Macaca mulatta: one gene and its partner. The protein of the gene in region 1 binds, or shares a complex with, the protein of each later gene. Links are inferred from orthologs where the notes say so. Each region holds a gene or a part of one and is shown on either strand. Other genes may lie near its edges.

Region 1 (4,521 bases):
CCGGCCAAAATGATTGGACGCACAATCCAGTTCCGACCAACAAGGGTGTTTATTTGCTGGAGGCATCTGAGACAGCAGAGGTGCTACAGAGAAGGTGCTGCTCTGGCAGTGAGGCAGTGAGGGAGGGATTCTGTGGAAGCTGCAGGCAGCCACCTTTTCATCCTTGGAGGTGGTGGCCTGGGATGTGGCAGACACAAACGCAGAGGGAGGCAGGAAGACACTGGAAGAATTGCTCCCCTGCTGCCAATGCCGATACCACTGGGCTTTTCACTTTCATAAGCCAAGAAATTTCCGTTACTGATTAAACAAATTGCCTTTATTGTTAAACCAATGATTGGATATCAGAAACAGCCTAGCTAATATAGCTCCTTTTGGATAAAAGTGGAAGTCTCACATTCACCTTTAATGTTATTTCATTTTCCAAAATCAATTTCCTGGCACCACGCAAACAAGAGCACTGGTAAATGTATCACCTGAGCTGCAGGCCACCCATGCTCACAAGTGTGTCCCTGCCATAGGTGGCTTTGAAGCCATATACATGGCTCTCCAGCTCTCGTGGGGGGCCAGGGGCTTCTGTGTGCTCTTCAAAGCCTTCACCCATTGGGCCTCTGTCCATCTTTCCAGCCCGGGGACCCAATATTTGCCCCATCAGGCCCAGGCAGGAGGGCCTCCAGCACGTGCAGCCCCGACCACACTGTGAGCGGCTCACTTGGCAAGGGTGGAGGGCCCAGAGTGGCGTCCTCCTGCTGTGGCTTCCTTCTAGCCTCTACCACCCCTGGGGGCCTCCAAGGAGCAGGTGGCTAGATGTCCTCTTGTGCCCATGCACAGGGCACAGTGGAGAAGGAACCGGAACCCAGCCCATGTTTCTGTCCCCACCCTGGCACCCCAAGGTTTCCTCTCAGGCAACAAGGAGCACACGAAGTGAGCGGCTGTACACAGGTGGCTGATGTGTTCATCTTCCACAGGGAGGCGAGTGCTGGGGACGAGGACAAAGGCCTATGCCCAGCCCCAGTTCTGACATTGCCTTGCTGAGTCACCCATCAGCCCTAACGCTTCCTGGAGGAGACAAGCAGACAGGGTGCCCAGAGAGGAGCTGTGTCACTAAGGGCCAGGACACCCCATCTCTGGGTCACACTTGGCCACTGCTTCGCTTTTGGCTTCAGTTTGTTTACTGAACAGAAGGGAGGGGGGCACTGTGAGACGAAGGACACTGACTCAGGTCGGGGAGTGGCCCTCACTGTATAAAGTCCGTGGCTGGGGACCAAAGTGGCACTGAGACTCCCCCGAAGTCACATCACAGAGCTGGGGTGACTTGCTGACTCCCTGGCCCCAACCTGCTTTTTCATTTGTCGAAAGCACACTGGCTGCAGCAGCTGCTGGGGGTGTGGTGGTTCCAGGGCTGGCTGTCACTTGGCCTCCTGCAGAGGTAAGCTGAAGGCTATGTTGGACCCGCCAGAGGTCAGGTGACAGCTGCTTTCCCTTTCAGGATTGGGAAGGAGTCACCTGAGGGTATATTCTCAGTGGGCTAAACATGACATGCCAGAGCCCAGCTCTCCAAGCAGCCCCTTCCTCCTTCTCACACCAAGGCACTTTCAGAAGCCGCTGGATTCCGACTGGGGCTCCGCCACTTCACCGCCAGTGCCTCTGCTGTGCTGGCTCACCTCTTCTGAGGGTGTGGAAGCAAACCCAGGTCAAGCTGTGAGGAGTGCCTAGCACGTGGCCAGAGCCAGGTACATGCCAGCTATTATTATGAGCCCAACTGCAACAGGTGAACACACTTAGTGTGACATGCTGCTGTGGCCTGGCACTGGGCACCTCCCCATGCTCCGAGAATGCTATTTGGAGAAGCCTTTCTCCATCGTCTCAGTCACTTCAGGGTGCAGGAAGCGGCTGGCCAACCGTTCGATGTCGTCCAGCGTCAGGCGGCTCAGGGACCTCTCGTAATCCTGGGGAGAGAAGGGCAGGAAGATTCAGGGGCTGCCAGTGGGGAGCCATACACTGCAACAGAGGTAGGGGCTGGGAGGAACTGGGCCTGGAGAGGATACCCAGGGTTACCCTTCTCACCCTCTGTAGCTGTTCCAGGACCCTGCTGGCATCTGCCGCACTGAAGTGGCGGGCCAAGACTTTGGAGATTAGCTGCCAGACATGCGGGGGTGGGGAGTCGGCCAGCCTCTGGGCCTCGCCTTCTTCTAGTAGCACCTTCTGCAGGGGTTTGACCACTAGGTTGAGCTTGGAGTTGGGCCCGATGCTATAATCCGAGAGTCGTTTCCCATCTGCCAAAGACAGATCGATGGGTTCCTCCTCCTCCGCCGCCGTGGGGGTGGCCCGGGACGCGAGACCGCCTCGGGCGGCGGGAGCGGAGCGCTGCGGCATCCGGCAGTGAGGCATGCGGCCGCCTCCCTTGGGGTCATGTGGCGCTTGGCGCCGGCACCCCAACCCGTTACACGGCTGCCGGCCTCGGCCCGCGCACCCCAGTCCCGCTTCCTGCGGGGCTCCCTGGGCGTCTCCTCTCCCTGGGTACCTGCCAGGGCCTTGCCCTTGAAAAGCAGCCGTTGCTGGCGCACGGGGACGTTCAGCTTCTCGGAGACCAGCTGCTTCAGCGTGGACACCAGCTCGTCCTCCGGCACCTGGCCGCGCGGAGGGTGGGAGGCAAGGGTTGAGGCCGCGGTCCCCAGGCGGCGAAGCCCACGCGTCCGCTCCCGAGGGCAGCTCTCCCGGCTCCCAGTCCCCGGCCCGGCCGCCCCGTGCCCGCCCTTGGCCCTGCTGGTCACCCTGCCAGGAGCCGGCGAGAGAGCGCGCCGGACCCGGCCGCCCGGCCCGGGGACCCTACCTGCAGGCTGCACTCCCGGCCCTGCAGCGCCTTCACCGTCAGCTGCATGGCGGTCGCGACGGCGTCCACTCGGGCCGGCGCGCACCCCAACCACCCCCCGCCGCGCGCCGCCGCCCCGGGCGCGCGCTGGAACCGCCCGCCGCCGCCGGAAGCAGCGAGAGGGGCGCGCCCGCCGCCCGCGCTTCCCGGCCCCGCCCTCCTGCCTCGTCCACGCCCCGGCCCCGCCCCCCGGCCCAGTTGCACCCCGGGAGGAGTGCCCCTGGGGTCCCGCCTAGCACACGCGCAGCGACCGCCCTGGCCGGCGGACCCCTCCCAAAGCAACAGCGCCGGGGAGTTGGGAGCAGGAACTAGTCGGGCCAGGTTGGCGTCATCTGGGAGCTAGGGAATGGAGAAGGAAGGACCAGAAGGTACGCTCGCCCCCGCAGACTGCCTGGACCACCCCACGCGCCGTTACTGCTGGCGGAACCTGGCCCTGCATACCCACAGACGGCGCCCCCCCCGCCGGCTCCCTGCCTGGTGGCTTTCTGGCTCCTCCTTTCTGGTCTGGCTGCGAAACACCCCACTGAGCTTGAGAGGGGGTAGGGGGGCCAGCCTCTGCCCTCATCCTCCCACCTCTCCTACAGTGGGGACACGCCCCGGGAGGGCTGATAGAGAAAGCCTATGCAGGGGTCACCGTGTCACCCAAGCTGGCCCTCCACCCTGGTCCACACCTACCCAGCACACTCTTTCTACCCCCACGCCCAGGCCCCAAAGGGCAAAGATTAGAAGGGACCCAAGCTTGCTTCTCTGTTTTATTGAAATATATTTTCTGGGCAGCGCCCACCTACCTAACTCAGCATGGCCTCTGTGGCACTGAAAGCTGGAGAATAAAAAATCAGTAAAAAAAATAAGCCTGGATTTTTCTGAGTGCATAGTGCATGAGAACTTTGGTGGAGTGTGGGGGCTGGGGCTGATGAAAGCTTGACCCAGAGGCCTCAGGAAACTGGGAACAGGCTACTGTAGATGCAGTGGCCAATGACCAAGGCCAGCATCTCGGAGGTGCCGCTCAGCGCCACAATGAAGGGGGCCTGGGAGGCATAGTCAGCTTGAAGGCGGCGGAGGGATAGCTGCAGCATGGCCAAGGCCAGCAGGCTGTTCTGCACCCCTACCTCAATGCTGACCGTCCGCCGCTGGGCCACAGGCAGCTTCAGACATGTGGCCAGGCAGTAGCCCACCAACAGGCCAACCAGGGGCACTGTGATACCCACCAGTACGATAGGTAGCCGGACGCCTGCCAGGATGAAGACCCCCATGCGATAGGCCAGGAAAAGGCCGCCCAGGAGGAGCACAAAGCTGAAGGGCTTGATGACCTGCAGCAGCAGCTGGGAGAACTTGGGGAGCTTGGACTTGATCAGCACGCCCACTGCTATGGGGATGGCGATGAACAGCAGGGTGCCCAGGATTTTGGAGATGGGCACGTGGAGTGTTTCATGGATGCTGAGCAGGTGGCTGTAGATGGCTGAAGACAGAGGCAAGAAACCAGTGGCAGCCACCGTAGAGATGAAAGTCATGGAGATGGCCAGGGTGACGTCCCCTCCAAGAAGGAGGCTGAAGAGGTAGCTCCCTCCGCCGCCAGGCGATGAGCAGGTAATGATGAGGCCCAGAGCCAGGGCCTTGGGCAGCATGAAGACTTTGGCCATGAGGAAAGCGTA
Region 2 (3,795 bases), on another chromosome or scaffold:
CCACTCACCTGCACACCCCACCGCACCTACGCCCACCACTCACCTGCACACCACCACGCCTACACTGCACACCTGCACACACCACCGTGCCTACACCCAACTCACCTGCGTACACAACTGCACACACCACCATGCCTGCACCAAACACCTGTAAACACCACTCACCTGCACAAACCACCGCACCTACTCCCAACACTCACCTGCACACACCACCGCGCCTGCACTGAACACATACCTGCACTCACCACTCACCTGCACTGAACACATACTTGCACTCACCACTCACCTGCACTGAACACATACCTGCACTCACCACTCACCTGCACACACCACCGCGCCTGCACCGAACACACACCTGCACACACCACTGTGCCTACACCCAGCACTCACCTGCACACACGCCTACACATCCAACACATCTGCACACACTGTGCCTACACCCAGCACTCACCTGCACACACGCCTACACACCCAACACATCTGCACACACCGTGCCTACACCCAGCACTCACCTGCACACACGCCTACACACCCAACACATCTGCACACACCGTGCCTACACCCAGCACTCACCTGTGCATACCGCCACACCCACACCTAACACCTACAAACACCCAGATGGCTACCCATGCCATGTCTACACTCAATACCTGCACACGTACAGCAACCCATATTGCCACGTCTATACCCAATACACCTGCACGCCCCCACGCAGCTACCCACACGTCTACAGACAACACACCTACACACCACACACCCACCCTCACCATGTCTACACCCAACACACATACTTGCACGTACCCCAACACAACTACCCACACCAGACACCCCATACCTACACACACTCCCCCCTCTACACCTACAACACACCTGCACACATCTACACACACCCACACCACCACATGGACACCCAGCACCTGCACACACACCCCCCACAGCTACCCACACCATATCGACACCCAACTCACCTGCACACAACCCCCCACACCATCACGTCTACACTCACCCACCCCTGTACCCACAAGTCTACACCCAACACTCACCTGCACACACCCACACTACAGCACATACACCCACACAGCTACCCACACTACCATGTCTACACCCAACAGCCCTGCACACACACCCATACCACGTCTACACCCAACACTCATACCCTATACATATACCCACACAGCTACCCCCACCATGGCTACACTTGCACGCACACCCACACAGCTACCCATGCCACGTCGACACACAACACACATATTCACACCCCACCCCCAAGACACCAAGACGCACCCGTCCACAGCCAGCAGCAGGAACCAGATGAAGTTGAGCAGCGGCTCCACAAATGGAGGCCCGTCCTCGATGGACGGGTGCTTCTGGGTGTATGTCGTGAAGACCACCGACGCGCTACTTTTGTTTTTTAAACAGAGAAACCTGGAAATGAGAACATGCTGGTGGTGGAAGGGCTGGAGAACATGGCTTCTGGCCGCACAGGCGCCAGCCTCTGACACATCCTTCCCAAGCTCGTGCGCCCATGGGTCCCGCGGCCCCCGGCACGGAGGAACCCAGTGCTTCACACGTGTCTCCCCTCACGTGCAGGGCATACTGGGGAAGCCTGAAATTCACAGGTGAAGAGAACGAAGCTTGGGAAGGTCACCAGGCTCTGGAGCTGGGCCCCAGCCTGAGACTCAACTATGCGATGCACTGAGCAAGCTCTCCTCTCCTCAGGCTGCCCGCACCAGAACACTCAGTCACGGCACAGCAGCTGGCGGGTGCCACACAGACCCTGGCTCCTGTTCGAGGAGGGCCCACGGGGAGAGCTCAGTGTCCCAGGGGCAGAGCCACTGTCAGCCCAGAGAAAACGTGTACGCAGTGCGGTGCAGAGCCAGGGAGCTCCAGGTTTGACCCAGCTTTTCATCTAAGTCACGGACGCCAGCTCCTGGCAGAGCTCTGCAGTGCGCACCACCGAGGTCAGAGGGTGTCTGTCCCCAGATCCCACGTTAACTCCCCAACGCCCGCCTTGAAATCCACATTGTTCTGTGGGAAGAAACTGATGGACACAAATAACGCTTTCATGAGAAAGGAAGCGGAGGCCAGCGCCTGGAGCAGGAGCGCCTGGAGCTCGGCCTGCAGGATGCCCCAGAGAGCTGGCGGGAGGGGCCGCGGGGTAGATGCTCACCATTCTATGACCTGGGTGTGCATTTCCGCTTTTCCAGATACTGCGGGAAGGCAGAGGCTGAGGCAGGCCTGAGGAGAGCAGAGGCCGCGGGGCCTCCCGGCAGCGGGCAAGAGGCGCAGTGTGGAGGGCGCTCCAGTGCCCGTCGGGAAAGGGGGAGTTTCTAAGATACTTCTTGAAACTGGTTAAACTTATGAATAATCACGGGTGACTCTGGCTGACAAGTGCGCTGTGGATTCTGCCCAGAGTGAACTCAGTTTATCCTGCAGCATGGCTCGGGCAGGGGACAAGGGGACCTGCTCTAAGGCCGCCCGGCCAAGGCAGCGATGGAAGCCAAGACCCAAAGAGCCACAAACACCTACTGTAGCACGGCCTGGGCCACGAACATGTCCACCTCGCTGCGGAAGCCACGGGACGTAGAGTATTCCACCAGCATGTTGGCACAGCCCTCCCCATCCGCCGAGTGCAGAAAATGATACCGCGACTCACAATAGTTTTGTTCTGCAAAGGAAACACAGAAAAATTTGAATGCATTTCATGAATATAATATAGAACAGGAAAAGTGGAAAGATACTCTATGTTAATTGTAGTCCACCTGCCTGCCCTGGAGAAGAGCCCAGCCAGAGCCCACAGGCAGAGGTACCCGATAGGGACTCAGAGCCGGCCCAAACCTCACACACAGCACCAAATAAACAGATCACCAGGGAACAGTCACTCAGCCATGCAACACCTTCATCCTCCAAGCTCTCAGAGCTGCTTAATCCAATCACATTAACGTGCGTTGTAATGATCAGTTACAGAGTGTTAACATGGGACCCTCCCCACCTACCAGAAGCAACTTATAGGGAGCAATGTAATCAGGGCCTAGGCCAGTGCATCTAGCATGTAATCAACAGTCAAAACCAGCCTGATGTACTCACCACACTGACCCAACGATCAACCCTTGATATCTCAAAGGCACACTCCGCTCCCAGGCCCCGTCCTAACACCCGCTCACACTCACTCCGCTCCCAGGCCCCGTCCTAACACCCGCTCACACTCACTCCGCTCCCAGGCCCCGTCCTAACACCCGCTCACACTCACTCCGCTCCCAGGCCCCGTCCTAACACCCGCTCACACTCACTCCGCTCCCAGGCCCCGTCCTAACACCCGCTCACACTCACTCCGCTCCCAGGCCCCGTCCTAACACCCGCTCACACTCACTCCGCTCCCAGGCCCCGTCCTAACACCCGCTCACACTCACTCCGCTCCCAGGCCCCGTGCATGCCTTGGGAGCACAGCCCTTCCCGTGGTGCAGATCTCAGCACTCACCAGGCGCCTGCCTCTCCCACCTAGTGGGCCCTTTCCCAACTGCGTTGCCCAACAGGAGCCTCCAGGGCCCTCCTGCTGCCTCTGTGGCTGCCAGAGTCCTTGTCACCTTGCTTTGTCTCCTGTTGTCTCCCTACATTCCCAAACCTTTACCTATGGGTGTGATTTCATCCCCAGGAGAGAAGCACCAGGGAAGCACATAGCCCAAGTATCGTGGAGCCCCAGCCTCAGGTCCTGTATGGGGCCTGTGCTTAGGACAGCAGAGGCCGTGCGTGGCCACCTTGGCATGGAGCAGGCCTGGGCTCCCCGGGTGAGGTCCA

What was found.
Region 2: UBL4A (region 1) and GET4 share a complex: the UniProt entries of both Homo sapiens proteins name them as parts of the BAG6/BAT3 complex. The link is inferred for Macaca mulatta from reciprocal best matches to the Homo sapiens genes UBL4A and GET4.

Annotation. Positions count from the first base shown.
Region 1 is NC_133426.1:160,668,861-160,673,381, forward strand, and holds UBL4A (ubiquitin-like protein 4A), read right to left. Parts: upstream 2,887-4,521; 5' UTR 2,879-2,886; coding exon 2,831-2,878; intron 2,628-2,830; coding exon 2,522-2,627; intron 2,274-2,521; coding exon 2,065-2,273; intron 1,947-2,064; coding exon 1,836-1,946; 3' UTR 34-1,835; downstream 1-33. Other genes in the region: SLC10A3 (P3 protein), read right to left, coding at 3,805-4,521. UniProt on the Homo sapiens protein: As part of a cytosolic protein quality control complex, the BAG6/BAT3 complex, maintains misfolded and hydrophobic patches-containing proteins in a soluble state and participates in their proper delivery to the endoplasmic reticulum or alternatively can promote their sorting to the proteasome where they undergo degradation.
Region 2 is NC_133408.1:34,831,713-34,835,507, reverse strand, and holds part of GET4 (Golgi to ER traffic protein 4 homolog), read right to left. Parts: intron 2,669-3,795; coding exon 2,530-2,668; intron 1,426-2,529; coding exon 1,285-1,425; intron 1,279-1,284; exon of another isoform or gene 287-1,278; intron 253-286; exon of another isoform or gene 1-252. UniProt on the Homo sapiens protein: As part of a cytosolic protein quality control complex, the BAG6/BAT3 complex, maintains misfolded and hydrophobic patches-containing proteins in a soluble state and participates in their proper delivery to the endoplasmic reticulum or alternatively can promote their sorting to the proteasome where they undergo degradation.